Lonchura striata: one gene and its partners. The protein of the gene in region 1 binds, or shares a complex with, the protein of each later gene. Links are inferred from orthologs where the notes say so. Each region holds a gene or a part of one and is shown on either strand. Other genes may lie near its edges. The genes, in order: NUP93, NUP188, NUP54 and NUP35.

Region 1 (7,213 bases):
AGCCCAGTTTAATTTCCTGAACATTTAAAGCCACACTTAAGCACTATATATTGTACAAACTCACTAAGCTTAAGCCACAAAGAAAACAGAACAGATGACAGGTTTCTTAAGTCTATTCAGACTGATTATAGTTGATTATTTCTTACCTAAAAACTCCTCAAGAGCACTACAGTGCTATCTTAGGAAGAAAACTCTAGCTATTCTACTCCAAATACAGCCACGATGAACATTTTACTGTACTTGATTCAGAAATACAAAAGCTGAAATACTCCAGTGCACGTCTAAGTGTTCACTGTACTTCACACATTGACAGGATTTGTGTCAACTAACCAATTAACTTTGAGAAACAGTAAAAAAATTAGGTTTTCCCAGTGCTCTAGGAAAAAGAAAGGAAGATGTCACAGGAGAAGGAAAACCTCACTCACTACATTCAGAGTGCTGACAAAGCAAGAGCTCCACAAGTTGCAGAAAGATTATTCAAAATGGGAAAGAAAAAGGAAAAAATCCAGTGTTGGCTTCTCAAAGAGGCTCCACCCTCAAAGTGCTCAAGAGACCCAGTCTGATGAGTCAGGATCAGCTTCTTGTGGAAAGAAAACACAAGAGCACAAGTAGTAAGACCAAGCCAGCAGTGTTCTGCTTCCTACAGCCAATATCTGAGGTGAAAAGTGCTTTTTCAACAGGCTCCAAGCCTGGGATGCTACAGAGAATGGAGCAGCTTCTGTCTATTAAGCTAAACATGAATAAGTAAAAGGTCCATTCTGCAGGCCTGGGGAATTCTGTCTGAGCAGCAGCAATAATACCCAGCTCTTGCATGGCACGTGGCATAAGCAGACATCCAGACATTTCAGAGAAGTCAGCAACATAATCTCCATGTTACAGACAGAGGAAGTGATTAAGAAACACTGAGATGATAATCAAAGAGCAGGTGGACAATTGTACAACCCAAATCTGCTGCACATTTTCAGCACACCATCCTCTTGTCCATAAAACACAATAATGATTATCAAACCTAACAGAGGGAAAGCTTCCATACCCTAACTACACTAAACCCAGATAAATCACAATAGGCCACTTTAAAAATATCTAAAAGCTTCAAGCTTTATTTGGCACCCCATCTGGTACAACAGCCTCTTCCCCCTGCAACAAAAGGCAGATGCAGGAAAATCCTGAATAGATCACACAACAACCTTTGAAACAATACTATTGTTTCTTCTACCACTGATCCATTAATGCTTCTCTGACTCCTATAAAAAGGCTTTCAGTCCTGCATATTTTCTTCTTCATCTCATTTGTAGGTAGATATGCAAAAGTCCAATCTTCTTATGGTCCCAGAGAACCCTTACAGTAGGTATGTTGAACAAAAATTTTTTTTTCAAAGTTTTAAAGGCAGTTACACTGGGTTACTTGCACTGTAAGAAAGGACAAGGAAGGGCACACAATGCTTCTCTACAGTGTTCATTATTTAAAGTGGACCTAAAGAGTAGGCATTTGAAGTGATTTCTACCAAAATACACTAGCACACATTTGTCAACACCCTTTCATCTGCCATCAATTCCTCATAAAGGTCTTAAGTTCCCATTGCCCTGAATAACTGACTCAGCTGGCAGTTTTGCTATATTACCACGTTCCCTCTTTTCCAAACACTTAGCCTTTATTTTAAGCACCCAACTCAGCAGGAACTTGCACAGGGTGGCAAACTGATCCTCATTAGACAGAGCATTCAGGATTTTGAGCTCCTTAAATGAAAACCCATATCCTCCCCTCAATGAACTTCCTGTCATTGAATTTCCTGAATTTCTGCACCACAGAAACTTTATGGATTTAGATGACAGAATCCCATGCTTTCTTCCAAGCAATTTTAAGCTTTTTCTGTCAGTTTCCCCAAGGAGTAGGAAAATTTTTTATGACACAACATAACTGAAATAGCACTAAAGCATATAGGAACTGGTATTTCTTTCTCACTATCATCTTAACTCTCCATGCCATAACTACTGTTCCCAGACCAACATGACCAAATTGCAGAAGAGAAGCAGCCCTTCTTTGCACCTGGACTTTAATTCAAGCCCTTCCACTCACTGTTCATAAACTCTTCCAGTATCTGAAGGGGTCCTACAGCAAAACCAGAGAGGGACTCTTTGTCAGAACTGTAGTGATGGACAAGGACTAATAAACATTAAAAGAGGGGAAATTTAGGAAGACATTCTTTACTGTGAGGGTGGTGAGGCACTGGCACACGTTGCCCTGGGACTGTCCCACCTCTGCCAGTGTTCATCATGCCAGGTTGGATAATGCCTTGACCAGCCTGGTCCAGCAGAAAGTGTCTCTGCCCATGGTAGCGGGAGGTGGAACTATATAAGCTTTGAAGTCCCTTCCAAACCCTCTAAGAATTCCTAGGAACCAACCTGCAAACCCACTGGGTGGGAGAGAACAAGCCCCACGCACAGAACTCGAAACAGACACCAAACCACACACATCATACACAAACCCGTTCTCCGGAAACCTTCCCAGACAACCAACTTCTGCTCCCTTAAGCACCAACGCTGCACTTGGGTTAAACACCAAACCACCCTTCTACAGCCGGGCTTGGCACTGCCGACCCGCACAAAAGCTCGGAAGAACAGAGCCCTCCTCGCGCATCCACAGCGGCCCCGCTGCCTCAGCGCGGGTTACTGACGGCAGCGACCCCGGGGAGCCCCGGCACGGCCCGCGAGCAGGCCTGGAGCGCTCCCAGCCAGCCTCCCGCCGCAGCAGCGGCCTGCACGGGCCGGAGAGGAAGCCATGGGCGGGGGGCAGCAGCCGGGAGCTGCGGGTGCGGGGGAAGCAGGCAGCGAGCACCGCAGGCGGGGAAGAAGCGGGGGAGAGAAGCGGAGGACGCCGAACCCCGGCCCGCCCGCGCGGCGCCCTCACCTCGCCGCGCTCCGCGCCGCCCGCCGCGCCCGCGCCGCGCGCCTCCATTGGCTGCCCGCTCGCCCTTTCCCGCGTTCCCATTGGCCGAGCCGCCGGGCGTCCCGGCTTCCCGTGCTCCTATTGGCCCAGCCGCCGCTCTCCGCAGCGCGCCCGTTCCCGCTCCCTCGCGAGAACAACTTGATTGAGGCGCTCGGAGGGGGCGCGGACCGAATGGGGGGGCGGCTGCCTCCGGACACCGCGGGTTCGAGGCTGCCTTCCGCCTCCTCGCGCTGCGTGCGCCGCGCCGAAATCAGTGAAATAAGAGATATACAGACAGAAATATCCTCTGGGACTGTTTCTCTATTCCCCCTTTTCCTTCTTAGTAAGCGCTGACTCTTGCTGGCAAACCCTGTCTGTGAGCTGATTCTGTGAGCTGATTCTGTGGGAGGTAAAATGAGGATAACGAATTCATCCCCATTTTGCCTCCCATGGCCAAATACACCAGCAAACAAACTCGCAGCCAGCAGGTACTCACACCACCACCTGTATAATGGTGCCCTGAGGATGTATAGGGATTCGCTGTGTTTGGTCCCATCTTGGACATACACATGATGGCCCTAAAACAGATATTGCCAATGACACAGGATTTGTTGGGCAAAATCTGGGAACTGGGAATTTCATGGACCCACAAGGCGACAGCCTGCTTGTGTAAGAGACAGCCTGGATTTTGCTGCTGTTCTGAAACATCACCCATCAAACCTTCAAAGCTGAACAGATTTCCCCATTAACACTGTCTCTATTTCCAAATTTTCCCATGTAAAAAGAAATTCCCAGCAGGCCAGAGGCAGCTCTGGCACCGGCTGTAACTACTCCTCCTAATTGCCAAGTGCGTGCAGGGGGTCAGGGTACATTTCTGCTCGTCACTTCAGTTTGAGGGGAGCACTTGTCCCCGAGAGGATGCCCTGGTGGAATGGATGCTCTGGTAGTAAAGATGCCTTGGTGGGATGGTTGTCCTGGTGTGATGGGTGTACTGATGGGATAGGCGCCCTGGTAGGGTGGCTGTGCCACCTCAGCTCTCCCTGAGCCCTTCCAGGCTCCCGGGGCATCTTTCCAGAGCGAGGAGAGTCCTGGTCCGCCCGGAGACCGGCGCTGGTGCCCTCCGGGGCGGGACGGGGGAACAGCCGTCCGGAGGGGCCGGGAAAGGAGAGACAGAGGCAGGGACCGAGGGAGGCGGGGACCGGCAGGGAGCCGGGGCGGCGGCGGGGCTGCGGGCAGGCAGGTGGCAGCAGATCCCTGCGGAAGGGCTCGGTGGCGCCCGGAGCGGAGCCGCTCGGGAGAGCCGTCCCTGGGGAGGGACCCGGGTCCTCTGCACGGGGGGCAAGGGGTGCTGCCCCCTCTGTGGGTGCCCGTCCCTCTACACTGGGCGCACAGGGCGCCTTTGCCTTGCCCAGGATGCGCAGGGTGCTGTCCCCTCTACATCAGATGCGTGTACCCTCCATCCTGGGTGCCCATCCTATGAGCATAGCATCTCATCTCTGTGCCAGGGGTTTTAAACAGGATATTAGTCAAAACACATCAGTGAAAGTGCTGTCAAGCGCTGGAACAGGCTGCCCAGGAAAGTAGTGGAGTCACCACCCCTGGAGCGATTTAAAAAAACAATGTAGATGTGTCACTTGGCTTAGGGGTGGGCTTGGCAGCGCTGGGGTAGCAGCTGGACTTGATGACCTTAGAGGGGTTTTCCAACCTTTCCAACAATTCTATGACTGTATTTTCCTCTCGCACTGGGTGCATTTTCCCTCTGCCCTGAGGGCAGGGTGTTATTTCCCCTGTGCACACGTGCCTGTCGCCTCTGCGCCAGGTGTGTTTGCTCTGTGCGCTGGGTGCATGTCCCCGCTGCGCACAGCGCTTGTCCCCTCGGCACAGGGCGATGTCCCCGCGGCACAGAGGTTCCTGTCATGCGTGCGCAGGGTGCTCATCTGCTCTGCACACAGTGCATCGCTCCTCTGCACAGAGCGCACATCCCTTCTGCACAGGGCACGTGTCCCTCCTGCACATGGTGCGTCTCAGCGCCACGCAGGGTCACGGACACCCATCACCCCCCTGGGATTCACACACAGCTAGAAAAAGCGGAACTGAATGCGGTCCCATGGGCAGCTGCAGGGCTGTTCGTCTGGGAGTGCACCCAGGACCCCCTTGCCCTGGCTCCCGTGGGTGCCCAGAAGGGATCGTGGTCACCTCAAACCACCTCAGCAGACTGAGCTGGACTTTTTTTGGCGGGGCTCAATAAAGTACATCAGCGTCTTCGTGGATCAAGAAAGGCTCCCCTCACCCTCCCACTATACAGAGCTGTCCAGAGGCTGAGAGCACTTCCTGCTTCATCAACAAGTACTTTTTTTTTTTTTTTTTTTTAATAGAAAATACTCTTGAGGGGACCAGAAAGCCCTCACCCACCTCACTGAGAGCAGCTACAGGCAAGGGCAGGCACTGGATACATCCCTGACCAGCTCATTCCACTGGTCCTGTGGCTTTCCTTGCCCCAAATCCATCCTGGGGAGGCTGGAAAAGGCACCAAGGCTGGGGGTCTCTGCCAGACGGGCGCGCAGGCAGAACCAGGAGCAGGCAGGGCAGGCTGGCAGCGGCAGGGTGCAGAAATGTGTGCCCACATCCTACCCTGGCACGCTGCTGGGAACCGGGGAGCGGTTGATGCCTGGGGCGCTTCCTGTGCGGGGAAACCCCATCCGCGCCCGGCTTTGTTTCTGGTGCAGGATGCGGGCGCCTGCCCCGGGGGCTCAGTCTGCAGCCCCTCCGCTACAGTGGCCGGGGTCGCAGCCCTGTTTCATATGGCTCCAGCAGCAGAGCCATGCCAGTCTTCTTTTCCAGCAAAGCGTCTTCCCATGGGATTGTTTTTAAATATTTAGGGCAGGGCAGACCCTTAAAACCCATTTCCATCACTACACCTCTGTTGCAGCAAGCAGTGCTGGGAGGCTGCTGAGGCAAAGACACACTGATGCAATAAGGCAACACATTTAAAAGGCAAATGGGTGTTGAGCTAAGTGCTGCTTTTCTCACTGGCCAAGTTGGGTGCTGAGTGGTCTGAGGAGCCATGTGCTGAAGCTGGGCAGACTTTGGGGAAAGGGTGAGCCTGGATCATCCTGGATGCCTGAAACATCCCTGGGAACTGGTATTGCCATGCTCCCACTGTGCAGACACCCCACCTTGTGTCACCCAGCCTAACAGATAGGACTATGTGGGTACCCAAGGGACAAATTTTCCTGGGTTTTAAATTTATCTTGTCCGTGGTGCCTTGTCACCAAGTGCTGCAGGAGATTTTCGTGCCAGGCAGAGCTGTCCTATTGCCTGAAGAGACACAAAATGGGTGAGGGCAGCATGGCTGGGAACTTACATCTATGGTGGGGCACACCCAGGAGACATGTATGGGCAGGCATCTGCCTTAAAAGTGGCTGCTCCATTTGGCAGAGACTTTCGGAAGCAAAACACTTAGTATGCATCTTCCCACCGCCCCCCCTCCCCCATTCCAGCAGCCACCCGAAATCCAGGCAGCTAAGCACTGCATTCACAGCTATTGTTACCTGCCCTCCTGCATCTGGAAGACTTTGCAGCTTTAAGCAAGGTGCTTCCCAAGAACGAGCTGGAAAAAAGTGCTCGGAAGTTTTGCCTACAGCAGGAGCCAAGCAGTGTAGCTGTAGGTGTTCGGCATGGGGAGACTGCAGGGAAAGTGTCCTTTTGGGGATGGATCTGCTCTGCAATGGATTGGGGCTTGCAAAGCTTTTGAGGAGGGAAGCTTTGTCCCCACTAGAATTTGTCCAAATGCTCTCCAGCAGCAGCTCAGGGCAGGCATCTTGCCAGCACAGATCACCCTCCCACCCACCACACTTGCTCCTACAAAATCTTTCACCCAAAGGAAGCCCCTAACATAGTGCAGAGGCACCTGCCATGTAGCCAAGGAAAGGCTGGAGGGGACTAGAGACCCTCCTTCCACTGTTTGCCCACACCTCTGGGTGTGTCACCTGTCCTCCCTGGGAGACCAGCACCTCAAAGATGCCCACATCAGCCCCACATGTAGGATGAGATCCACCCCTGTGAAGCTCCTTTCCTCCCTCAAGGAAGGTGCAGAGCCCACTTAGGGAAGGACACAGGAGTGTTTCTGAGCAGCCCTCTCCCACCCTGCAGCGACAATTCGACAATTCCCATACAGGTGTCCCAAGCGGCAAAAATGCTCAGCCTCCAACCCATCCCCACAGCAGCACTCGTACCTCCAGAAAAACTCCTTTATTTCCATCCAGTTTCACCACTGGTACAGAAAATA
Region 2 (7,079 bases), on another chromosome or scaffold:
GGAAGTTTGACCTAGAGCCTCAGATGTACTTCAACATCCTTTAGATTACTTTGAACTGAAAGGACCTTAAGTGTCTCTCTATTCAACATCATGAAGTCATTCAGTATCAGAATCCTGTAACAATTCACTCCAGAGATAAAAAATAATCCAAGAGCAGCTTCACTCACCAAAAACTTGCTGACTCTCAGACCCAACTCTTTTAGTGGAGCGGCTACATCTTTATCAGCTTTAATTTTTTCTGCTGAAGTCGTACTAAAGTGAAAAGAAATTTTAGTCATTAAAAATACAGCAATCTCAAAGAAAAAATTAAATAGGCATAATTTTAAAGTTCTCCACTCTTATCAGTCTAAACTGAACATTTGCTTCTTCCTCAGTGACCTTTCAATATTTCATACAATATTCTGTAACCTTCCTTTACTTACTAGGAAACTCCACATTTGAGATTAATTTCTAAAATCAGGCAGTGACTGTACCTCGGTGGTTTGTAGTATGACAGTCCCTCTAACAGCCTCTGCCAGTGCTTGTTCAACTCTGCAGCAATCTGAGCCTAAAACAGAACCAAACACCACTGAACAGACTCCTCAAAGTGCATTACCAAATATTACACCTGTTAAACTTCAGCAAAGCAAAGAAATTCCACCAGCACAAAGAGGCAGGAAGAACACAAGACTGGTGTCTGTGGCTCAGAGTGATTCCAGATGCAGCACTGAACAGGCAGGGAGCTGCACTGCCTGTTCCTAGGGAGGGTGAGGAAAAGGGAGGCAATGGACTGGATTTACAAACATTTGGATTCTCAACCTCTGGCCGAATTCCTGAAAGCACAGGCTCCATCCCTCAATATAAGACAGCAGTTGTACCACACGTGAACACCCCAGGGCAAACCAGGCAGCAGCACTTGTGCCCACTCCAGAAAAGGAACCACCTTTTCCATACACCCTTCCAGGCAGTTCATGCAGCAGCTGTAAACCAGCAGTTTACAGAAGAATAAACAAGTAGCAGAGGTACAGGAACAAAAATCATGCTGAGAAAGAAGGAAAGGCAGCAGAAAATATTTTCACTAATATTCAAAGAGTGTACAAATGATGTGTTTGGCCATGGAGCCCAATAAGTGATGGCCAAACCTGCTCTGCAGGGAATAACTTACTGGTTCTCTTAAAGCTGATCTGCCCAGCAAAATTGTCCATAATTCTCTGCTGCTCCTGCAAACACAAGGAAAAGGTGGAGAGCATTTTAATGATGAATGTTATTCCAGGCTTCCATCTAGCTTACACTTTTCAAACCTGCAATTAACTTACAGTGAATGACACTGCGATGCAAGAAAAATTATTTAAGGCACATTAGCTTCCAGCTAATGAGTTTCAAATGTCCTAGAAAAACCAAGGAAAAACCCAGAGAGGTGACAACTGACACAGCAAGACCTGTGAATTCACATCAAAACTTCACATTGATATCAGATTACCAGCTCAATTTGATTTTTTTACTTTAATTTGATTTAAAGCTCCTAAGAAGAAAATAGAAGCATAAAGCAGTATTCTACTATTACATTTAATGCTCTCCTTCAAACAAATTTTTCCAGCAGTTTCATCCTCCAGTCTAGGCAGAGCATAAAACTGTATGAAGTGAAAAACTCCACCATCTTCGCACAGACACCAGAACATTTACACTCAGCTTGTCATTTCTTCATGAGAACTCTGTAGAAAAGCCAACCTGCATTATAAAAATTACAGATCACACCCTGACCCTGGCACATGCATTCTAAAAGAAGTCTCCCTACAACAGCACAGAGAAAAGATATTTGCCAGAAACAGTATTTCACTTAGACAAACAATGATTTGCTAACAACACATTACAAATGAGGATTTAAACACCCCAACTCCTCACACAAAGACTGTCTACACAAGAACACTCATTGCCTTATTTTTAGAATAACATTATTAAAATAACTCACTGTGGCAGTGAAAGTCATCTGCAACTTCTGCCATGTGGTGACACTTAATGAATGACACCACCTGTTATTTCCAGCACACCCATCAGCATCATTCCTCCCTGCTCATTCCTCGATAGCTGGGTGCACTTCTCTGCCATGAGCCTCTCCAGCCCACGCAGAGCACCCAAAGACCCAGGTATTTACCAAGAACTGAACAGCAATGTGAAAGAGGCAATTCAATGAATCCCAGGTCCAGTGATCATGTCAGATCAGTGCCTTCATTTGCCTTGCACACATTTTTTTACTTATTGTCAGCTCTGAGCCCCAGCCTAGCAACGCCAACCCACCTACTTTTCACTCCTTCACAATCTCCTGTGAATAAAACAGACCGTGGTTTGTTGTCCCCTCATTAATAAGGCTCCAAGACAGCTAAGGGAGGAAAGCTCTCTGTATACGACCACAACGAACAGCGGTATCATTAATTTAATAAAAATTAGACACTAGGGAAACTCCAGAACATAAAAGCGTTATAATAAATGACAAAAAACGTGCTCTGGAGAAACGAAACCACTGAACTAAGATGATCACTGAACTCGGGATTGATTAAATCACTTCCATCACTCATTTCCACGCGTTTACTTTGACTTGCACGGGAGCGGCGCGGGAGGCGCAGCCGGTCCCGGTAGGGAAGGGCCGGGCCGGGCCGGGCCGAGCCGAGCCCCGCCACAAAAGCGCCGCAGCCGCGGCTCGCTCCGGCGCCCGAGCCGGGGCTCACTGAGGGTCCCTCAGCCGGGCGGGGGCGGGGCCAGCCCGGCGCGCGCCCCGCCGCGGTTAAAACCTCCCGGCCCCGCGCTGCGCCTCCTCCCCACAGCCCTGCCCGGCCCCCGGTGCCGCGGAGCGCGGCCCGCCCGCAGCGACAGCCGGGGCCTCCCAGGCCGCCCCCGCGCTCCCTCCGCCCGAGCGGCCCCGGCCCGCACCTCGCGCTCAGCCCGCCCGCCGCCATCTTCGCTCCGCTGTCACGTGACCCAGGGCTGCCGCCCTCCGCCGCGCCGGTGTCACGTGGTGCTGCACAAGCCACGCCCCCGCGCGTGGGTCATGTGACTGGCGGCGCGGCAAGATGGCGGCGCCCTGCGAGGTGGGTGCGGGCTGGGCTCCCCGGGGCGGTCGGGCCGGAGCACAAGATCCGCGCTGGAATCGGGAACCACCCGGGAGCGCCTCCGGCATCGCCCGCGGGCGGATGCCGTTCCCAGTAGCGGAGGCTGGGATGTGGGTGTCGCGGTTGAGGGGGACAGGAGGCGGCGGCGAGCAGGTGCGGGCAGCCCGCGGGTTGAGGGGCGTCCACAACGCTGCGGGGTCGTGGGGAAGAGAGGGAGCAATCAGGGGCTGCAGCCCGGATGTTTGGCAGCACGTCAGTGGGAAGCTTCCCCGCCCTGAGCAGCCGGCATGCGGAGCAGGAGACGGGCAGAAAACGCTGGGTCCGGCTCGATCCGCAGGGCGGTGGGTCCCGTTCGATGATGAGAGCGGCAGTGCCGAGGAGCTTCACAGTACCTGAAAGAAGGTGCGGAGGAGGGGATTGCGGCAGGCACAAGAAAACGAAATAACTCATTAGTGAAATATAGACTGTCAGGTCTAAGCATTCAGAGCCGCTCCATCAGAGACCTCAGGCAGGGTGAATTTCTACCTACTCTTGCAGCCCGGCGGGGAAGCTGTAATGCCATCGATACGGGAGCTGGGGTGCAACCTTAAGGTTGCCAGACTGAGTAGGAGGACTCTGTCTTTGGCTGGCAGGTGGCATTTACTCTGCTTCTTCTCAAATAAGCCTTAGGCTTCCCCCTCCCCAGTGCTCAGAAACAGCAGGGAGTACAACCCAAAAACTGTTATTGGTTGGAGGTAGATATTGCCCAGACCAGTTCTGGTTTATTGACTGTATGATTAATTCTTCTCCTGTTTAAAAATTAATTGCAATGACAAGAAATGACATTTGGCCTGAAGGAGCTGTGTAGCAACAGTGCATGTAATGAAGGTGTTTGGCAATCAAGTATTTCAGGCTATATGAATAAGGATGCCAAAAAGCAATCCATCAGTAAGTTTTCAGTACAAGGTTATAAATATCTAAACACTGCAGACACGCTAAGAAAGTTTTACAGTACAAACTGTAATAATTTCTCAGTAATATTGCTATTACTTTGTCAGCTTTGTAATCTAGTGTCACCATTCAACACTGGCTGAAAACCCAAAAGAGAACCTTAAATAAACTTCTGGTCTTCCATGAGGGAGCTGATGTAGATACTGGCATTGAGACTGGGGGAGCAGAATTTAGTAAGACTTTGCTGCTAATCAGCTTAAGGGTGGTCCAGAAGGGATAAAGTAAGCCCTTTTCACAGCTGGATCAACCATAATATTTCCAATAGACATAAAGAACAGGAGAACTTCAAAGACCCCAGAAGAGAGGCCAGTGTAATGGTAGAGGTTTACATATGGCCCATTATCAAATGATGTATCCATAGAGAAATCAGGGTCACCAGAAAGCAATAAATGCTGGTGAGAATTGCACAATGATGTCAATGCCCACAATTCTTTGAAGGAGATAAGATTTAACCTAACAGAGTAAATGTGGCTGTTGCTGAATATTTTAACTGCTTACCCTCCAGTCCAGACGTTTAAAGCAAAGCTTGGTTTGCAGTGCAGCTGTCAGTGTTGTCAATGCCCACAATTCTTTGAGGGAGATAAGATGAGATTTAACCTAAGAGAGTAAATGTGCCTGTGGCTGATTATCTTAACTGCTTACCCTCCAGTCCAAACGTTTAAAGCAAAGCTTGGTTTGCAGCTGTCAGTGAGCTGTGAGCCTTCACTTAGAGAAGATGAACTGCAGGATTTACTCACCTCACTTTTTTTTTAATTCATCTGTGTGTTGACTTTAGCAATTAGCACTTAACTATGAGTTTGAGTTTAAGAACCAAATAGCTGTGCAAACACTTCAGCTGTCCAAGTAGTTGCTTTAATTGCTTGCTTTTTTTTTTTTTTAATAGCAATTGCAGTAGCATGGAAGGGAATTCTTCCTAACAGGCAGCTGAGACTGGTGAAGTTGTGCAGGCCTGAGCAGGCTGGGCTGGAGTCATGTCGAACAGGGCAGTGCTGGTGGAGTCGCTGCTGGTGTTCACCGCGGTGCTGGCGGTGCACGCGGTGGTGTGGGACCGCTTCTCCTGGTGCGCCGTGGCTTTGGCCGTCCAGGCCTTCTACGCCCAGTTCAAATGGGACTGGCTGCTGCAGCAGGGCGGGGCTGTCTTCCAGTTCCGGGGTGCAGCCAACAGCGGCCTCCTGCCTGCCAGCATGGTCATCCCCCTGCTGGGGGTGGTGATGAAGGAGAGGTGCAGGGCTGCCGGCATCGTCTACTTCGAGCGCTTTGGCATCGTGGTGGCTTCCACGGGAATGCTGCTCGCTCTCTTCCTGTCCGTCTTGGCGGTTGGCATCACCAAACCTGTGCCAACCAACACTTGCATCCTGACTGGTGTTGCTGGCAGCGTAATTATCTACACCATGAAACATTCCTTGACTGTCTCCGAAGTGATAGAGGTTCTGGAAGTGCTGCTCATTTTCGTCTACCTCAGTATGATCTTGCTGTACTTGTTGCCTCGATGTTTTACTCCCGGGGAAGCGCTGCTGGTTCTCGGAGGTATAAGTTTTGTTCTCAACCAGCTCATTAAACGCTCACTGAATGTAATCGAGGGCAGAGGGGATCCCACTGACTTCTTCCTTCTGGTAGCAGTTGTTGGAGTTGTTCTTCTTGGTCTTTTTTTCACCGTGCTCTTCATTTTCATGGATTCAGGCACATGGATCTCCTCCATGTTTTTCCACATGATGACAGCAGTGTTAGGCTTAGGGGTCATCATGCCGTGGCTGTACCGACTGATCCAGAGGAACCCTTTGTTCTGGCTGCTCCAGTTTCTGTTTCAGACACAGACAAGACTTTACCTCCTTGTGTATTGGACTTTCTTGGCTGCCTTAGCATGTGGGGTGGTTTTCTACCAGAATGCTAAGAGATCATCTGAATCTAAAAAACACCAGGCCTCGACTATAACCAGGAAATATTTCCACTTCATTGTTGTAGCTACTTATGTTCCTGGACTAATTTATGACCGCCAGCTCCTCTACGTTGCTGCAGTGCTGTGTCTGGCAGTGTTTATCTTCTTAGAGTACATCCGGTACTTCAGGATCAAACCTTTTGGACAAACCCTGAGGCATTTGCTCTCTCTCTTCTTGGATGAAAGAGACAGTGGACCTCTCATCTTGACTCATATTTATCTCCTCCTCGGCATGTCCCTCCCAGTGTGGTTGTTTCCCAGATCATGTGCTCCTAAAGGCACCTTGTCTGGGGCAGGAGCACTGGTGCCCTACTCTGGGGTGTTGGCAGTAGGGGTAGGAGACACCATTGCCTCTGTTTTTGGCAGTACAATGGGGGAAATCAAATGGCCAGGAACAAAGAAGACCTTTGAAGGGACAATGACAGCTATTTTTGCTCAGATCATTGCTGTGGCTCTCATTCTGATCTTTGACAGCAGTGTGAATCTGAACTCTAGCTATGCCTGGATTCTGGCATCTGTGAGTTTGGTTTCTCTTTTGGAAGCTTACACTACTCAAATTGATAATCTGCTGTTGCCTCTCTACCTCCAGATCATGCTCATGGCATAGAAGCACTTCCAGGAACAGTTTTCTCCCTTCCTAGAGAAAGGTACTAGAAAATGCACTTTAATGAAAGCTCAAAGGTGATGTTTTGGTACAGCAGAGAAAGCTGTTGAGAACAGAAATGAGAAAGACTATTTTAAAACAGGTTTTGATTTGGTCTTGTTCTTACTCCTGTCGAAAATAGACGGATTTATGTTCTAACAGCAACAAACACAACCGATAAAAGCAGCACTTGTGTTTAATAATGCAATTTAAGTTTCTTCTGGGTGCACAAGGGAAGCAGAGGAAGAAGAGGTAAGTCAATTAGAGGGGAAAAAATAAACAAGCAAGTCTCTCAGATGTTGCTACCTCTGTACTGTACCTTGTTTTCTGTACTGAGTCTTGTCTTGTGTTTGATGTGTGAACTCTCATGTCTGTATAAGCACGATGTAAAGCATGTTTGATAATTGGGGGGGGCACAGGAACCAGG
Region 3 (7,887 bases), on another chromosome or scaffold:
CCAGTGATGTATATAAATGAGGTAAATAGTTCTGTGTCTTTCCAGCATTGTGGCATGTTAACTCTTGCAGAAATACCCTCTGAGCCAGCCAGAAAAGAAAATGCTGGTTTTTTGGTGTTTGTACAGCAATAGCTAGGAAGATGTTGCTGTTTCTTAACTGACACCCTCCTGCTGTTTATTGTAGTGCTAATTTCAGCCTTGCCAAACACTCTCAGACACTCCTTTTAAACTCAAAGGAGTTGGCCGTGAGGAAAAGGGGTGCTCAGACAGAGGCAGGACTTCAGGAGATCACACCTTTTTCTGACTCATCTGCTGTGAATATTCCTGTGCTGTGGTCAGATCACTGAATCAATTTGTGTTAGTTCCATTCCTAAACCAAAAATTAAAAGTCCATATTTTCCTTTGAAATGCCGACTAGGTGATCCCTCTGCTCCCCTGGAAGAATTTTGAAGGGGGAAGTATGTTAAGAAGCAGTGAAGCAGTGCTGGAGAGTTGTGGGAGTGTTGTTTCCCTGCCCTTCACAAAAGTGATCTTATAGGAAGCACATAAATAAATAAACTTTTTTTTTTTTAATTTCCTCTTCATCTCTCTCTGCTCCAGAGTGTTCTGATAGATGAAGCATCTGCCAGCAGACTCAGGCACGTCCTGCTGGAAGCCAGTGTTGTGACTGGGATCCCCTTTGTAATCATGGCTCTGGGGATTGTGTTTGGGATTGTTTTCATTGTGCTGGTGTGCAGGTCCCAGAGGATAACTGAAGAGGTAAGCAGCACTTGGATTTCACTTTGCTTGCTGTCCATCTGCCAGCATTTGATTTTGTTTTTGTTTTTTGTGGTTGATTTTACCTCTTGCTGTGTCTTTCTGCACGTGTTTTTATATTGTTTTTGTTGGGAATGACCTTTCTAGGGAGGGGAAGTTTTAATAGAATCAGAATAAACGCACCAAAGCAAAGGAGTGGAGTTAATCCGAGAAGCCTGGTAAGGCAGGTCTTGTCTCTGTGCCCAATTCCCTTGCCAACAGTAGTGAAATAAATCAGCCTGTCTAGAGGACCCTGAAGGATAAGATGCAAAAACTCCACCATATCTGAGGACAGATTTAGTTGGTGTCAGTGTTCTCAGCAGAAGAACTGCATTGTGCCAGTGGGTTATTTTCCAGAATCATAATGTGAATTTGTGGCCAAAGAACAGATGAATTGCACAGACAGCAACAGCAGGAAGTATTCTCCACTATTGTCTATTTACAATTCTATTGTAAATGTCTATTACAGTCTGTAAATCTGTTTATGAGCAGTTCTGTCCCAAGCTGACATGCTGGCATTAAGGTGCATGTCAGGGCGAAAGCTGATGCCAGCATTCCACCATAACAGGGTTCAGGTGGCACCAAGTGTGGAGCCTTTGATTAGAGGAATAGCCTGGGTTCTCTAGGAGGCTGTTTTGTCTTCGTAGTTGCTGTGGGCTTACTGTCTTTGGTGTTCCCTAAATGCTGTCCTACAATTTCCCTCTGTGCCTGGGGAGCCCCTCTGGATCAGTGGGATCCACTGCCATCCCATCCCTATGGGGCTGCACTTCAGTTTCCTGTGCAGGAGAGACTGGTTGCTTTTCCTTTTTTTCCTTTTCCCTTTCCCTTTCCTTCTGAGCCTGCCTGTGCTGTCAGCAGTTTAGCCAGGGTGTCAATCTGTCCCACTGCCCAAGGCCTGTCCTGGGAATTCCTGCCCCACCCTACATGCACAGCTTCTAACCAGCTCTCTTGGGGTCAAAGTGACAAAGGGACACCTGCATTCCATGCTTTTCCTGCTTTGCTTTTTGTTGCTCTTCCTGCAAACAGAGGTAATCCAGCAGTCTGCAGCTCTTCTTGTGATCCCTGGCCTTCCCTCCTGTGTCAGGGGCTGCCCAGGTCCCTGCCCTGGCTGCCACCAACCCTCTGGTGCCTCCTTAGTCAGCCCTGGCTCTCTTGGAGGGAGTTGTCCTTAGAAGGAGGAGCTTTTCCTTTCCCTGCTTGGAGTCTGGGCAGCCCAGCTTCCATGGTGGAAGGTCTCTCATGGTCACGTTTCACTTGCTGTGGTTTTGTTCTTGCAGAGCACAGAAGAAGAGAGGTCCCCGCTCATCAGGACATCTTAGTAGATTTTATTCCCCCTGTGAGCTTGGAGAATAAATGATTAGAGCTGACTTAACACCAAGTGTCCCCTCTGGAGCCACGCTCGTGTCCAGCGTCACCTTTGGTGGGACAGAGGTGGAAGGTAATCTGCGCTGTCAGCCAGGGAGAAGACTTTTCTCTCAGCTACATTACAACTTTCAAACTCCATTTGCAAACTGCTCCGGATCCCGCTTTTCTCAGCCCTGCCCTCTGTTCCTACCCGCACTGGCAGCCACAGAGGATCAGAACCACCTGATTCCCTACGGGAGCGACGCGGGCGGCCTTGCCAACGGCCCTGGGAGCGTGGACGGCCCTCTGGGAACGCAGCGGGCTCCTGGATGGCCCTGGGACAGGGACACAGGCTGCCCTGTCCACGATGTGTCCTCACTGCAGCGTGCTCCGAGCGTTTGTCACTGGTGTCCTTGCTCCTGTCACAGCACACGCGTGCGGCTGACCCGCCCCGGAGCTGCAACTCCATGTGGGACCGAGCCAGCCGGAGCTTCTCCATGCCCACCACTGCGGTGTTCCCACTCTGCTCGCTAGGCAGGCTTTTATCCTTCGGGTGTGGGCTTTGTTCTGCAGCTTAAGGCACCACAGCTCAGCGGTGTTCCTGGCCTGGAGGGGACACGGCTGGTGGGTGGTGTTGTGGGGGTTTGCTGGGAATGCAGACTTGGCATGTTTGGGATGAGAGCACCCCTCCGTGGTATGGACAGGGTCCTGAGAACTCCTGACACTTTTTTTACTTGTCAAGCAGAAGCTTGTGGCAAAAGTCACCAAGGTTCCTCCCCCCTCCCCAATTAAAAGGATATTCTCATCGAGGAATGTTTCCATCGGGTAGTGAAATGTGTTTTTGAAGTGTGTAACTGTCTTCTAAAGAGGGGCATTGGGGTTTGCATCACTTGGGCTTGGTTTGGAGTCTTTTTCCTGGCTGCTGCTTTGGTTTCTTCCCTGTGAGCGTGGGGAGGCCCATGAATGGATTCTGCAGAGCAGCTGCGCCTGGATCCCTGCAAGTGTCCAAGGCCCAGATGGAAGGGGCTTGGAGCAGCCTGGGATCGTGGAAGGTGGCCCTGCCCAAGTGTGAAAACCAGAATTCACTGCTTAGAATTTTTCAAAGTTTAATAATAATAGGATAAAACAAGGACAGTGTTTCCAGCGCTGGGGTGATCCTGGCCAAAGAATACCCTGCTGTTTTACAGACAGTGTTTCTGATGTTGTGGGAGCTCCTTTGTCTGACTGCTTATCCCCATGACATCCTGGGTGTCAGGTCAATATATTTTATTTCTTCTCAAGTCTCCATCCTGCTTGATAAGTGTTTAGTGTGTCCTCCTTAAATTTAACATAGTATTCTCTAATTGTCCTCTGGTGCTCTGGTTTGTGTCATGATTATCACTTGGACAGGCTGGTCAGTGGATAGCCTTACACTGCTTTTAGTTACACAAAAGCCTCTTTATTTTTTTACATCTTATGTTTTGCTAAGGTCTGTAACACAGTACATTCATCACACTATTATTTCCATAAGTGATACAGAGATATTATATTGATTACACCACTATTTCTATAAGCATCACAGGGCATGCTTAAACTGATATATTGTATTATATTAACAGTACTATTCTAAATATTTATAATCACGACATGCATAAGCTACTACATAGATGTGAAAGCCAGTATTATCTGGTCATTTTTCACCCATGGCAGGCAGAGGAGCAAGATGGGCTTTAAGGTGCCTTTGAAATCAAGCCCTTCTGCGATTCTGTGACAGTGTTGTCACCCCAAATCTTGTTTTCTGGGAATAACCCTGGGAAAACGCTCTGGAATCTGCCCATGCTCTGCCTTTCCCAGCATCGTGGGATGCTCTGGGTGCAGCTGCCACAGGAATGTGCCCGGAGGGAGACTCCGTGATCTCCGTGGCCAGCTGTTCCCTCATGGACGTGGGGTGCCTGTGGGAGCCGTCACTGCCAAGTTCCGCCCGCCAGCTCCTACAACGGGCACACCCGAAGGAACGGCGGCACTGCGGTCCCAGTGCTGGGGGAAATCCAGGGAATGCCCCCGATCCTCGGGGAAGAGCTGCCTGTCCTTGTTCCCCTTTATTTCCCTGCGTCCCGTGGGACGTTGAGCCTCTCCCGGCGCCCCCGTCCCGCCGCCCGCAGTGGTACAGCCCGCTGGCGCGCGCCGATTGCGTCACCGCGAGTCGCCTGCGCCACCCGGAAGCGCTTTGGCGGCGGCGGCGGAAAAGCGGCGCGTGCGGCCGGTTTTGTTTGTGGCCGGACCCGCCGCGGGGGCTCGTACGCGCCTCCCGCGGGGGCCTCCGCTCGCCGTCCCACGATCGGCCCCATGGCCTTCAACTTCAGCGCCACGGCGGGAGCCGGGGCCGCCAACCCGACCGGTGAGCGCGGGGGGGCGCGGGGCGCGGAGGGGCGGGGCGGGGGGAACCGAGCAGCGGGCAGCGCGTGCCCCCCCCCCTCTCCTGGCCAATGAGAGCCGCGGCGGCCGGCAGCGCGTGCCCCCCCGCCAATGAGAACAGCGGGCGCCTCAGAGGGCCGCGCGTGCCCCCCGGCCAATGGGCAATCGCGGCGGCGGCCCGCGCGTGTCCCCCTCGTGCTGCTCCCCCCGCCAATGGGAACCGCTGAGGCTAGCAGCGCGTGCCCCCCCGCCAATGGGGATCGCGGCCCCCTCAGGGACCCGCGCGTTCCCCCCCGTCGATGAGAATGACGGCGGCGGCGGCCCGCTCGTGCCCTGCGGCCAATGGGAGCGGCGGTGGCCGGCAGCGCGTGCCCCCCGGCCAATGGGAGCCGCGGCCGCCTCAGAGGCGCCGTCCCGCGCCTCGCGCGGACCCCGGCGGGTCCGGGAGTCGCTCTTGAGGCGCTTGTGAAGAGGTGGCTCGGATCAGCATTTTGCTTGCAATAAATTCGTCGTTTGGACGAGATGCCCTTGGAAGTTCATTTTTTAGCAAGGTAAAAGACGGGTTGACTTGTAAAGTTAGGCTTTTCCCCTTCTGCTTTTGTCACTGTCAGTCGTGGTGAAGTGTAGGACAGAACTTTCCTTGCCCTCACTTAGTGAAATAATTAATTGTTGGCTCCAAACAAGTCCTTGGGACAGGACTCATCTTTGCTCTAGTCAGCCTGAATTTTACTGTCTCTTTTACACACACTCTTTCTGGCCCCATCTGAAAGTAAAACATCACCTTGTGCTGCCTGTACACTGTGCCAAGGTTTGTGACACTCACAGACCAATATCAGAGGGAAATCTGGGATCACACATCAGGACTTCCCGTTGTCTGTCCAGCATGAACCTGCTTCAGCTGCTTCCAAGGGCTGCTGGGCGTATCAGTAAATCCAGCAAGGCTGAGGTGGGCAGGTTTTGGCAATAGAATTTGGATAAGTCTGCCCTGGAGTAACTGAGGCTTGTGTGGTCCAGCCTCAGCTGCTGGAGCTGAGTTTCATGGTTATTCTGCTGTCACGTATCTGAGTGTATTATCTGTGTGAAGATGGTTTACTCTTGCCTTCCTGATATTTTAGTAATTTTGCTACTATCTGTTACACTTAAGATGAATGCAGCTGCACTGAGCAGTCTTAGGCTGTTGAAAATTACTGTTAATGTGAATATTGAATCACAAAGATATGGCTTTGAAATAAGGTGGGGAAATGCTACTGCTTTATGCACTGTACAATTGAAAAATAATGTCTTTACAGCAGCAGTGTGTGGAGCTTTTAACTGTCCTCCTTGTGTCCAACAACTAATATTTAATGCCACTTAATACCTTTTACTCTTGTCTGTAACTATGCCTGTCTTGCCCATGGGGATGGAAAAATGCTTCAGCTTTTCTTTCCTGGGACCTGCCTTTCACTCAGAACTAATGTTGCCTTGCTCTTTTTCTGCTTCCCGCTCGTCAGGATTTGGTGGGCTTGAAACTGCAAACTCCACTGCCAGTGGGTTTAATTTTGGGGGTTTCGGATTAACTGCTAATCCCGCGGTGAATTTTAATATTGGGAATTTCGGTGTTTCCACTACCTCAACTCCACCTTTCAATTTTGGTAACAGTCTGGCGAGCGCAGGTAGATAATGCCTAAATACGTGTTGTGTGGTAAATGTTACCAGCAGGGGTCCAAGAATTACATCCCTCACTGGGGATACGTGTCCACACCTAATCCTCATATCCAGTGAAGACTGGCCATTAAAGCTCTGGAAATGGAATGGGTTGGAGAGCCACAGACATGGAGGGGTTTTGCCTGTTAAATTCTTGAGGAATAGCTTTTGAGGAAAAATAACCCCATAGCCAAAAGTCTCTGGAATGGGAATGAATCCAGGTGATCCCGAGCAATCCCAGCTTTCCCCTGTTTCCTGACATGAGATTCTTGGACTACTGCGGTCGTGTTTTCATCTTCCCCCGTGTCTCCTCATCAGCCTTGCATTGGCTGTCATGAACGCACCACACCTCAATAGTTTCTGTGCAGAAACGAATTGTATACGACCGGCACGAAGTCAGAGCCCAGCTGTGACCTGTTCCCCAAAGCCCTGCATCCCAAAACGGCCCTGCCCCAGCTCTCCGGGGACGCTCGTGCTCCAGGGAACCCTGCACGACATGGGTGCACAGTGGGGGGGTGGCTAAGGAAGCCCTTTGTGGCCCCATGGAGATCCAGCAGATCTGAGCCATCAGCTGATGTCATTTCACTTCAAATATTTCCCATTCCCTATAAAAACACCGGACCAGATGGATTTCTAGTGCTCGTGTTGGTGTGGAATTAGCCCAGGGGGTCCCGTTGCTGCTGCTCGTATAGGAATTCCGTCCATCCCACAGTGTCATCGCTCTCTGTGTCAGCGCCTCTCATCTGTTCTGTGCACTCCAGCAGTCCCATTGCGTTTATTTGCTGTGAACACTCTTGGGCTGGATTTCTTTGCCTTCATTTGAGCTGCTCCAGAAGAGACCGTGGGTAGTCCATTTGATATTTAATTTGATACTTTGGTATTCACTCAGGTCCCTTTTCAAGAAAGGATGACGAAATTTGCAGTGGGTACAAAGGTACCTAAAAATGGTGTTGTCTGCTGGTGCTCCTGCCAGGGTGTCCCGCTCGCTGGCAGGACTGAAACATGGGTGTTACAGGGAACAATTTCTTGTGCCCACTCACATCAAGATTTTTGCTGAGTGGACATAAAATCAGCTTTGATTTATGCTTTTCATTTTGTTTGTGGACAGGAGGACTGTGAGTGTAGTAGATCTAAGGAACCTTGGTTTTTTTTTTTGCTATTGACATGTCAGTTAGGAGAGACAGCATCTTTGTGACAAACCCTTCGTAGCAGACTGTCTTTTGTTGTTTGAGCATGTGTAAAAGCAGCGTGAAACACAGAGACCTTGGTTTCCCGGGCAGGTCAGTGCTCCGCAGGCTGCACCTTGGGCCAGTGCCATTGGCACCACTGGAGCTCAGGTGCTCACTTAGATCCTCTCCTGCTGGCTAGTGACTTCTTTTGCTGAAAACCTGTGGAAGGCAGACTGCTTTTGCATCCATCTACCTATACTAGTGGTTGAATCTCCAAATGAGGTGTAATGGGGAGGATCATTGGGAAACAAGGCTTTAAAGAAAAGGACCCTGTAGAATTTTACCTGTAAATTTTGCCTGTAAGCACAGCAACTGTGTGTACCTGGCCTCAGGCTTTGTTTTTTTTCCTGAGGTTAGGACTGTTTGTAAAGTTCGCAAAACATCAGGTTGTTTATTACACACTTAGCAGTGACATTGACCAGAAGTATTCCTGAGAAGGAAT
Region 4 (7,763 bases), on another chromosome or scaffold:
ACAGTTTCCAGTTCATTTCTAAATGAAAGTTGCCATTCACAACTGCACTATTCTGCTTTCTGCCTCAGGTGTTTATATCTCAGTTACTAGTTTGTAGGTTAAGGAGTTTACAGGAAAACTTTTATCACAACATTAGTAGTTTTCTGGTGGAAGAGGTGGATGAAAGGAATGTATTTGGTGGAATAGTTCTCCAGAATCAGTTCAAAAAGCACATGATAGTGGTATATAGACAGATCTCTAGGTGGTTTGAATTACTTTATTTGTTTTGTCAAAATAGTGTTAAAAGAGCTTATGATAAATTGTGTCATGAAGTGCTCTTCTGTTTAAGTAACCACAGAGACACTACTGTTTCATCTCCTAAAATGGGTGAGGAAGAGATGTTCACTGGTGATAGAGCATGATATATGAGAAATTATTTCTAGAACATGGCTAACTCCATGAAGGAAGTATGAGAGCATGTGAATTTGAGGATGCAAGTGAAGCCTGCACTATTCTCTAAGTCATTGCCAGCTGGGTACTTGTAACAGGATTCACTTTTCTAAAACTGTAATGGCTCAAGTCTCTAGACAGCATGGTACAAATTCTGATACTGATCAGAGCTCAACTTTTCTTCTAGGCTCCAACTTGGCAGGCAGGTTTTCCATGACATGTTCAGTGATCTATGTCAAGTCATAATACTGTGAATGAGGGATACTTTTTTCATATGTTTAATATCTAATAATAAAACTTCTGAAATCTTGTGCTTCCAAAGAGAAAAGCTTTGCTTATTCATGAACATCGCTCCTTATTGGTCCACCTGTCTTTCCTAAGGAAAAGCCTCAGTTTCACTGCAAAGTAGAATGGATCTATAAGGAATTACATTAGCCTTTGACTTCACAAAAAGCTTTGTGCTTCTTTTAAATTTCTTCCCTTGATGAGGCTTTTCGCCCACTGTGTACAACCATTGTATAATCACCTTTTCTGCTGGTGGAAGGTGATGTTTCTCTCTCCATAAAAATTTTTTAAAACCCAACTTGGTCTTGACTCTTACATGATTCTTGCAAGTCCACAGACCATTTCTGGGCAGGAAAACTTTTATCAGCATCAGAGCAAGGAGTTCTTGGTAAATAGAGATTTATTTCCTGTTTGTCATCTGTTTCTTACTTTTATTCTGCATTCACAGCTAATACAAAACTAGTTAAGAATAATATGCCAAATTTTTGTATGAATTGTGAACAATGGACTTTGGCAAGGGAAGAGAAACATTCTCAGTATTAAAGTTGGATTAATATTATGGCCCAGATTCATTAATGTTCAATAATTTTCAGGATTCATGGATACCACTATATAATTTTTGGCAGTGTAAAACAAACCAGTTATTTAAAAAGATACATCAGACTTAAATGTGAAAGGGAAATAAAGCATGAACAGTACAAAGGAAAATAAAAAATAATTAAGAGTGCAATTTCCAGCAGGCAGTGCACAGGAGGTGTGATTTCCATTGCAAGGAAGGGTGGTGTCATTATTTGCCATGCTGGGATGCGGGAGCTTAGATTGGTTCCTAGCTCTGTCATAATGTTGTGCCTCATTCTTCTAGTCTCAGCTTGGAATTTCTCCAGCAAGGATAATAATACTGCATTTCATACTTCTTTGCCTTGTTATTTACACTGGAAGATTTTTGGAACAGGAACCATTTTCTGGTCTGTGTGTCTGTTAAAATGCCAGATAATTGTAGCTCCTAAATCTGTAACATAAACTCTTAAGTTCCTGGAAAGTAACCCTGATGCTTAGAAGATCTTTTTGTCTCTGGGTCAAATTGCCATTAAGTAACTTGTACCTGTTAAGGGCAGACAGAAGAGGCTAGAATAGTTCTGTTGAGCCTCAAGTATCTGATCACATCATGTCATGTTTCAGTATTTTCATTCAGAATATGGAAGTGCTGAGGGTTTGGTGGTTTCTTTTTGTGTCCAAGGGGCTTTTCCAGATCATAGTGTGACATACAAACATGACTGCCTCACGAAGCCGGGGCTTTGCAAACATTGCTTAAGACATGCTAGATTGTCTAGCTGTCTTTGCGTTGATTTGGGCTTGTTATTTCTTAACAAAACTTGCAGTGTTAAAAAGAGACATACAGGTGTCTCAAATGTAGTGAGGGAAATGTTTAAGTAGGATAAAACCCATTAATTTAATATATAATTTAGGGTGAGCCCGAATTCAAACCCCAGAAGAAGCATTTGTGAGTTTATGGGAAGTTGAGTAGTTTTGGATTTTGCACCCTAGTTCCCAATTAAGGGTCCGTAGATGTACCAGTGGTGTAATGGGAAGGGAGAGATCTGTTGCAAATCACACAATGTCTTTTCTAATTTTCCTGTGCATGATCCCTTTTACCCAGAATCTTCCCTGCAGCGTACACAAGAAACATGCAACTGGGACTACAAGACATTCTAAAATCTGCCTCTGTGCCCAGCTGTTTGCTGCTTTGTTATGTTTTTAACCTTTAACAAGATACTTTCAAATTCCTTTCCATATTGAAAATAAAATCTATTTCAAAATTGTCACTCAATTAGATCAGATACTTTAGTATCCCAGTTGTCTATGATTTGTTCTTTACATTAACAGGCTGCTGTAAAGCCTCAGGAAGAAAGACAGAGGATGTGTTTTAGTTCTCGGGTATGAATTAAGTTTGAGGAATTTGGTAATAATAAAGCATTTTGGGGTAGAAAAAAATCTTAATTTCATGCTTATATCATGCTTATATCTTTGTTTGGATTTACTTATATGTGTAAATATTTGCTTCGAGCTCAACAAGGAGCCTTTTAATAAGTCTTACAAGACTTATGTAGTTTCTTACACTTTTAATGTACCTAATGAATGTAATGTACCTAACTTACGTTTCATTTCTTTCTTGGAGGATGGTGTGGTGCTGGTTCACTGCAATGCAGGAGTCTCCCGTGCAGCGGCTGTAGTCATTGGTTTTCTAATGAATTCAGAAAGACTGAGCTTTGCCAGAGCCTTTTCCTTGGTGAAAAATGCAAGGCCTGCAGCTTGTCCAAATCCTGGCTTCATGGAGCAGCTTCACAAGTACCAAGAACAGATTTTAAAGGCAAATGGAAGCATAAACAATCATGACTGATCCAAAGGGAAAAGCAAAACAATCTGTTTTGACTATACAGGAATAGGTGTTGGATGTTCTTTGTCCTGTCATTTTGAAATCCCCTTTCACATGTGCATTTTCAAGTCTTTATGTATTTTTTTTTCTTACCCTCCTTTGACCATGTTTTTTCCAGAATGTCATCAAAAGGCCAAATGGTGTTGTACTGACTTCAGAGAAGTTTTGCCTAAAACCAGAGCACTAATAAAAGATACAGCTCAGTTTACCTTGAAATATTAGAAAACAATAGAATGATTGTTTACTTTCTGAACTATCAGAAAATGCAGGCAATAGAGAAAGGAAGTAAAATAACTGAGGTAAGTTTCTTTCTTTCCAAATCTGTGCATTCCTAGATGGTTGTAAAATAGGGATAATAAAATGTTCATATAATGAAGTACCTTGATACTGGATTTTAAAATTATATTGCAGCTGTAGATGATATTATTGAATTTTGTGGGAGAGCCAGCCATTAATTTTTTTAAATTAAAACTATGGTCTTTTGAGGATGCTCAAAATGCACAGCATGCATTAATGCTCTGTATATTCCTATTGTTTCTCATCTAGTAGTGATTTGAAGTGCACTAATATGATGAGTCCAGTCTTGGAACTAGCGTTTTTGGTTTTTTTCCTGTACATCATTTCAGTAGAGATACAAAAAATGTTCATACTGGTCTGTCTCTGCTCATGCTACTGTCTTTTCTTCACATCTGGTCCTCACATGCTCTCCCCTCACTCCACTCCACAACATGTGTAAAGAACAGACATCATAGGGTATGTAATTTTGATCCTCCTGAGAGATCCCAGGCTGAAATTACTCTCTTAATATGCTTTTTTAAAAAATCTATAAGATTTTAATAGTATTTTGTGGTATTCATGCCATCTCTTAATGATTTGATATATTAATATGCAACAAAATAAAGAGACCGCTGTGTTTGGATTAATTGTGTGCTAAAGTGATTTAAAAGGTTTGGTTTCAAGATTGGCGTTCTGTCCTTGTGCCAGCAATTTGCACAGTAGCACATCACTGTGTTTGAACCACGGCTTCTCTTGTTCTCAGTATGAATTACTCAAGAACATTAGTGACAGGACAAGGGATGGGAATGGATTCAGAAATAAGGAGGAGGTTGAGATTAGATTATTTACACTGAGGGAGGTCCGGGCACAGGCTGCCCAGAGCAGCTATGGCTGCTCCATCCCTGGAAGTGTCCAGGGCCACACTGGACAGGGCTAACTGGGATAGTGGAAAGCGTTTCTGCCCATGGCAGGGGGTGGAGCTGGATGAGCTCTACGATTCCATGCTTCCATGATTCCATGCTAAACGTTAATGCGGGATCAGGCAGCCGCGCTGCATGTGGGCGTTGTCGGCGGGCACCGGCCCCGTGTGGGCGGCGGGGGAGCAGCTCCCGGCCGCGCCCCGGCGGCCCGGGCACCGACCGCACCTTTCCCCGGGAGGCCGCTCCGAGCTGTCCGCCCGCGGGAGCAGCCCGCGACAGCCCCGGTAACGCTGGCCGCGGTTCCCTCGGCTGCTGGCGACCCGCCCCTCCCTCAGGGACCGTTTGCCAAGGAGCCATGAGGGGCCCGGCCGGCACAAGCCCACGCCAGGCCGCGACACCCTCCCGCCCCGCGCCAACATGTCACGGGCCGGGTCGGAAGTGACGGCGGCAGGAAGCTCCGTCCCGTTTGAAAGTGCCAGGCGGAGCCGCCGCCGCCGCCGCCTCTTTCCCGCCATCCGGGCCGACATGGCCGCCTTCGCCGTGGAGCTGCTGCCCGCAGGTGAGCCGGGCCCGGCGCTCCCCGGCTTTGTGGGCGCTCCTGTGAGGGGAGTGGGGCCGGGGATGCTGCGGAGCTGGAGCGGGAGACGGCGCCGGGCTGACGCGAAAGGGGAGCGGGGTTAAATCGATCGGCTGCCACTTGTAATTGCGAAAAACCGTGATAAACTCGGCTTACCTGTAAAACCGCCTTTGATCTCATCAGTCCATACAAATATCTCAGAGGCGGGTGCCGGTGGTGCCCAGCGACAGGGCGAGGAGTAATGGTCATAAACCAAAACAATAAGGAATTCTACCTCAGGCGTGAGGAAGAACGTCTTTACACTGAGGCTGGCCGAGCACTGGAACAGGCTGCCCAGAGTCTCCCTTTCTGGAGACATTCCAGACTCACCTGGAGACGTTTCTGTGTACCTGCTCTGGGTGACCCTGCCTTGGCAGAGGGTTGGAGTAGATGATCTCCAGGGGTCCCTTCCAACGCTAATGGTTCTGGGATTCTGTGATCTTAATCACTTCCTGTATCTTGTATGTTAGAAAAAGCATTCACTTGTCTTGTTCATATTTTAAAATTTTGTTTTCAGGAGCTGAACCAATGACTCTTGGCTCCCCGACATCTCCAAAACAAGGAACTAGTGCTCAATTTCTCCCTGGGTTTTTGATGGGTGACTTACCTGCACCAGTGACTCCGCAGCCACGTGCTTTATATGGCCCTTCAGTTGGTGTCATGGAAACAAGGTCTCCACTACTTGCAGGTCAGAATTCGTTAAATGTTGGAAAATTGTCCTGAAAGCAAAAAATTGGTTTATCTCATTGTTCTACATGACTGTTGCAGACTTGAATCCTTATAGTTTTATATCTTTCTGTTAGCAAACTACACTGATTAAGTGGTGAACTCAGTGTATTGAATTATAATAAATGTTCTAAATGTGGCAGTTTTGGCATCAAGAAAAGTTTGTTTTACAGGGAAGGTAATAAACCTCTCCTAATATAGAATCAGTTTATGTGACTCTTTACATGTCAGGTACACATACATTGATGCTGAAAACAGAGATACTTATGAAATTGAAAGTAATCACATGAATTTCACCAAATTGTTTTTTGAAGTGTTTATTATAGCCTCAGAGTATCAATTTTAGGAAAAGGGGAGCCAGTAAGATACTAACACAGACTTCCCAAAGGGAGAGATCAAGTACATCACTTAAACTGCAGACCTTGATGGGAGAGTGCTTTACATAATGCACGTTATTCCATGCAACAATAGCAGTTCTTGTATGTGTTAAACAGTACAGAGTGGAGTCTTGAAGCTCAGAATTTAGCACTGGAAAAAGCTTGGTTTCCAAATGTTTTGCAAGTGAAAACTTGATGCAAACTACTTTTTTTTTTTTTTACCCTGGGGTAAATCCACACAAAGGGATAAGATACGTCAAGTTCCTTCAAGAAGTTTAATTCTCTGTTATACTGGAAGTTCCAAAGTTTACAAAATGAGAGGGCAGCTGGTTTAACTTCCTCCTGTCTATATGCAAGCTAGTCCCTGCTCTCAAAGCTTACATTTTTATTTAATATGAAATTAGATGAGAAGCCAAGGAATTTGGACAGTGGGAATGTGACAGTAATGTGCAATGTCTCTGTGCTTTTGGTATGGCTCTTTAACATATAGGATATTTCAATTTTTAAAAATCTTGCTTTTGCGTCTCTACTATAGGCAAGTTAGTCTCTGAAACAATTAAAATAGATTTCTAAGCCTGGCTTAAAATTGAAAGATACAGCCATGCTCAGAACTTCAGAGAAAGAACATTTAAACAGTGAATATTAATAAGAGGTCTGAAAGTTATAAATAGGCTGCTGCTTGGAACACCTGTGATGCTCCTACCTAGAACATTCAAACTTGAACATTTGGTAGGACAGATGGCTCTGCAAACCTCCAGTGAAACAATCAACAGTCTCAACAGCAACCAGCATGAGAGCATGGCAGAATTTATTATTGAAGTTTCCAGAACAAGTAGCACCAAAGCAAAATGACAGGTTTTGTCATGCTCTTCTTTTGTTCCTTTGAATTGCAGGAGGGTCTCCCCCACAACCAGTAGTCCCTTCGCATAAGGATAAAGGTGGTGCTCCACCAGTTAGAAGCATATATGATGAGTTATCTAGTCCTGGGCTTGGATCAACACCTCTGTCCTCAAGAAGAACAGTAAGTGTCTTTGGCACTGGCCTGTTCTTAGCAGAAGATGTGCCTCAGTGAATTCTCAAACTTAGTTGCATAAACTGCTGTAGCAAAATGAGTGATGACCCTACAGATCATGCCGTTGCTTAGTCTGGGTTGTTCGTTGTGCCTGTTCCTGTTTAAACAAGAGCTGTGGTCATGAAGCAAATTCCTGTTATTGCCAGTTTTCAATTCAGTAGGAAATGAAAAATGCAAGTGATGCTTCGTACATATAAATTCAGCTTTGTTTGTCAGCTTTTCACTTTCTTCTAAGTTTATTTGGCAGCTGATTGCCAGAAGGACCCTTCCACAATTTTAAAGGAGGTTGTAGCAAGGTGGATGTTGGTCTCTTCTCCCAGGTAACAAGTGAGAGGACAAAAGGAAATGGCCTCTGAAGAAGTTTAGATTGGATATCAGGAAAAATCTTTTCACTGAAAGGGTGGTCAGGCATTGGAACAGGCCACCCAGGGAAGTGTTAGAATCGCCATCCTTGAAAGTGTTCAAAAATGTGTGGACATGGTTTAGTGGTCAAGATGGCAGTGTTAGGTTAATGGTTGGACTCAATGATCTTGGGGATCTTTTCCAACCTTAATAATTCTGGGTTTCTGTGATTATCTTTTTGAAGACAATAGAGGTGCTTATGGAAACAGAAGGAATTTCCTTCTGA

What was found.
Region 2: NUP93 (region 1) and NUP188 share a complex: the UniProt entries of both Homo sapiens proteins name them as parts of the nuclear pore complex. The link is inferred for Lonchura striata from reciprocal best matches to the Homo sapiens genes NUP93 and NUP188.
Region 3: NUP93 (region 1) and NUP54 share a complex: the UniProt entries of both Homo sapiens proteins name them as parts of the p62 complex. The link is inferred for Lonchura striata from reciprocal best matches to the Homo sapiens genes NUP93 and NUP54.
Region 4: the proteins of NUP93 (region 1) and NUP35 are in contact, whole or in part, in a crystal structure (PDB 7MW1), measured with the Homo sapiens proteins. The link is inferred for Lonchura striata from reciprocal best matches to the Homo sapiens genes NUP93 and NUP35. Residues at the interface, in NP_055484.3 of Homo sapiens: Tyr266, Tyr269, Asn402, Ala407, Asp408, Lys409, Thr410, Glu411, Tyr413, Tyr448, His452, Phe453, Val455, Asn456, Leu461; in NP_612142.2 of Homo sapiens: Ala88, Pro89, Pro90, Val91, Arg92, Ser93, Ile94, Tyr95.

The regions. Positions count from the first base shown.
Region 1 is NC_134615.1:15,614,017-15,621,229, reverse strand, and holds the start of NUP93 (nuclear pore complex protein Nup93), read right to left. Parts: upstream 3,014-7,213; 5' UTR 2,908-3,013; intron 2,609-2,907; exon of another isoform or gene 2,486-2,608; intron 1-2,485. UniProt on the Homo sapiens protein: Plays a role in the nuclear pore complex (NPC) assembly and/or maintenance. May anchor nucleoporins, but not NUP153 and TPR, to the NPC. During renal development, regulates podocyte migration and proliferation through SMAD4 signaling.
Region 2 is NC_134624.1:250,890-257,968, forward strand, and holds the start of NUP188 (nucleoporin NUP188), read right to left. Parts: upstream 3,003-7,079; 5' UTR 2,931-3,002; coding exon 2,905-2,930; intron 1,200-2,904; coding exon 1,145-1,199; intron 548-1,144; coding exon 474-547; intron 253-473; coding exon 168-252; intron 1-167. Other genes in the region: DOLK (dolichol kinase), read left to right, coding at 5,045-6,616. UniProt on the Homo sapiens protein: Component of the nuclear pore complex (NPC), a complex required for the trafficking across the nuclear envelope. Required for proper protein transport into the nucleus.
Region 3 is NC_134606.1:72,473,533-72,481,419, forward strand, and holds the start of NUP54 (nucleoporin p54), read left to right. Parts: upstream 1-4,870; 5' UTR 4,871-5,911; coding exon 5,912-6,185; intron 6,186-7,887. Other genes in the region: SCARB2 (lysosome membrane protein 2), read left to right, coding at 1-21, 601-759, 2,073-2,114. UniProt on the Homo sapiens protein: Component of the nuclear pore complex, a complex required for the trafficking across the nuclear membrane.
Region 4 is NC_134610.1:33,293,428-33,301,190, reverse strand, and holds the start of NUP35 (nucleoporin NUP35), read left to right. Parts: upstream 1-4,761; coding exon 4,762-4,903; intron 4,904-5,477; coding exon 5,478-5,648; intron 5,649-6,956; coding exon 6,957-7,084; intron 7,085-7,763. Other genes in the region: DUSP19 (dual specificity protein phosphatase 19), read left to right, coding at 2,891-3,112. UniProt on the Homo sapiens protein: Functions as a component of the nuclear pore complex (NPC).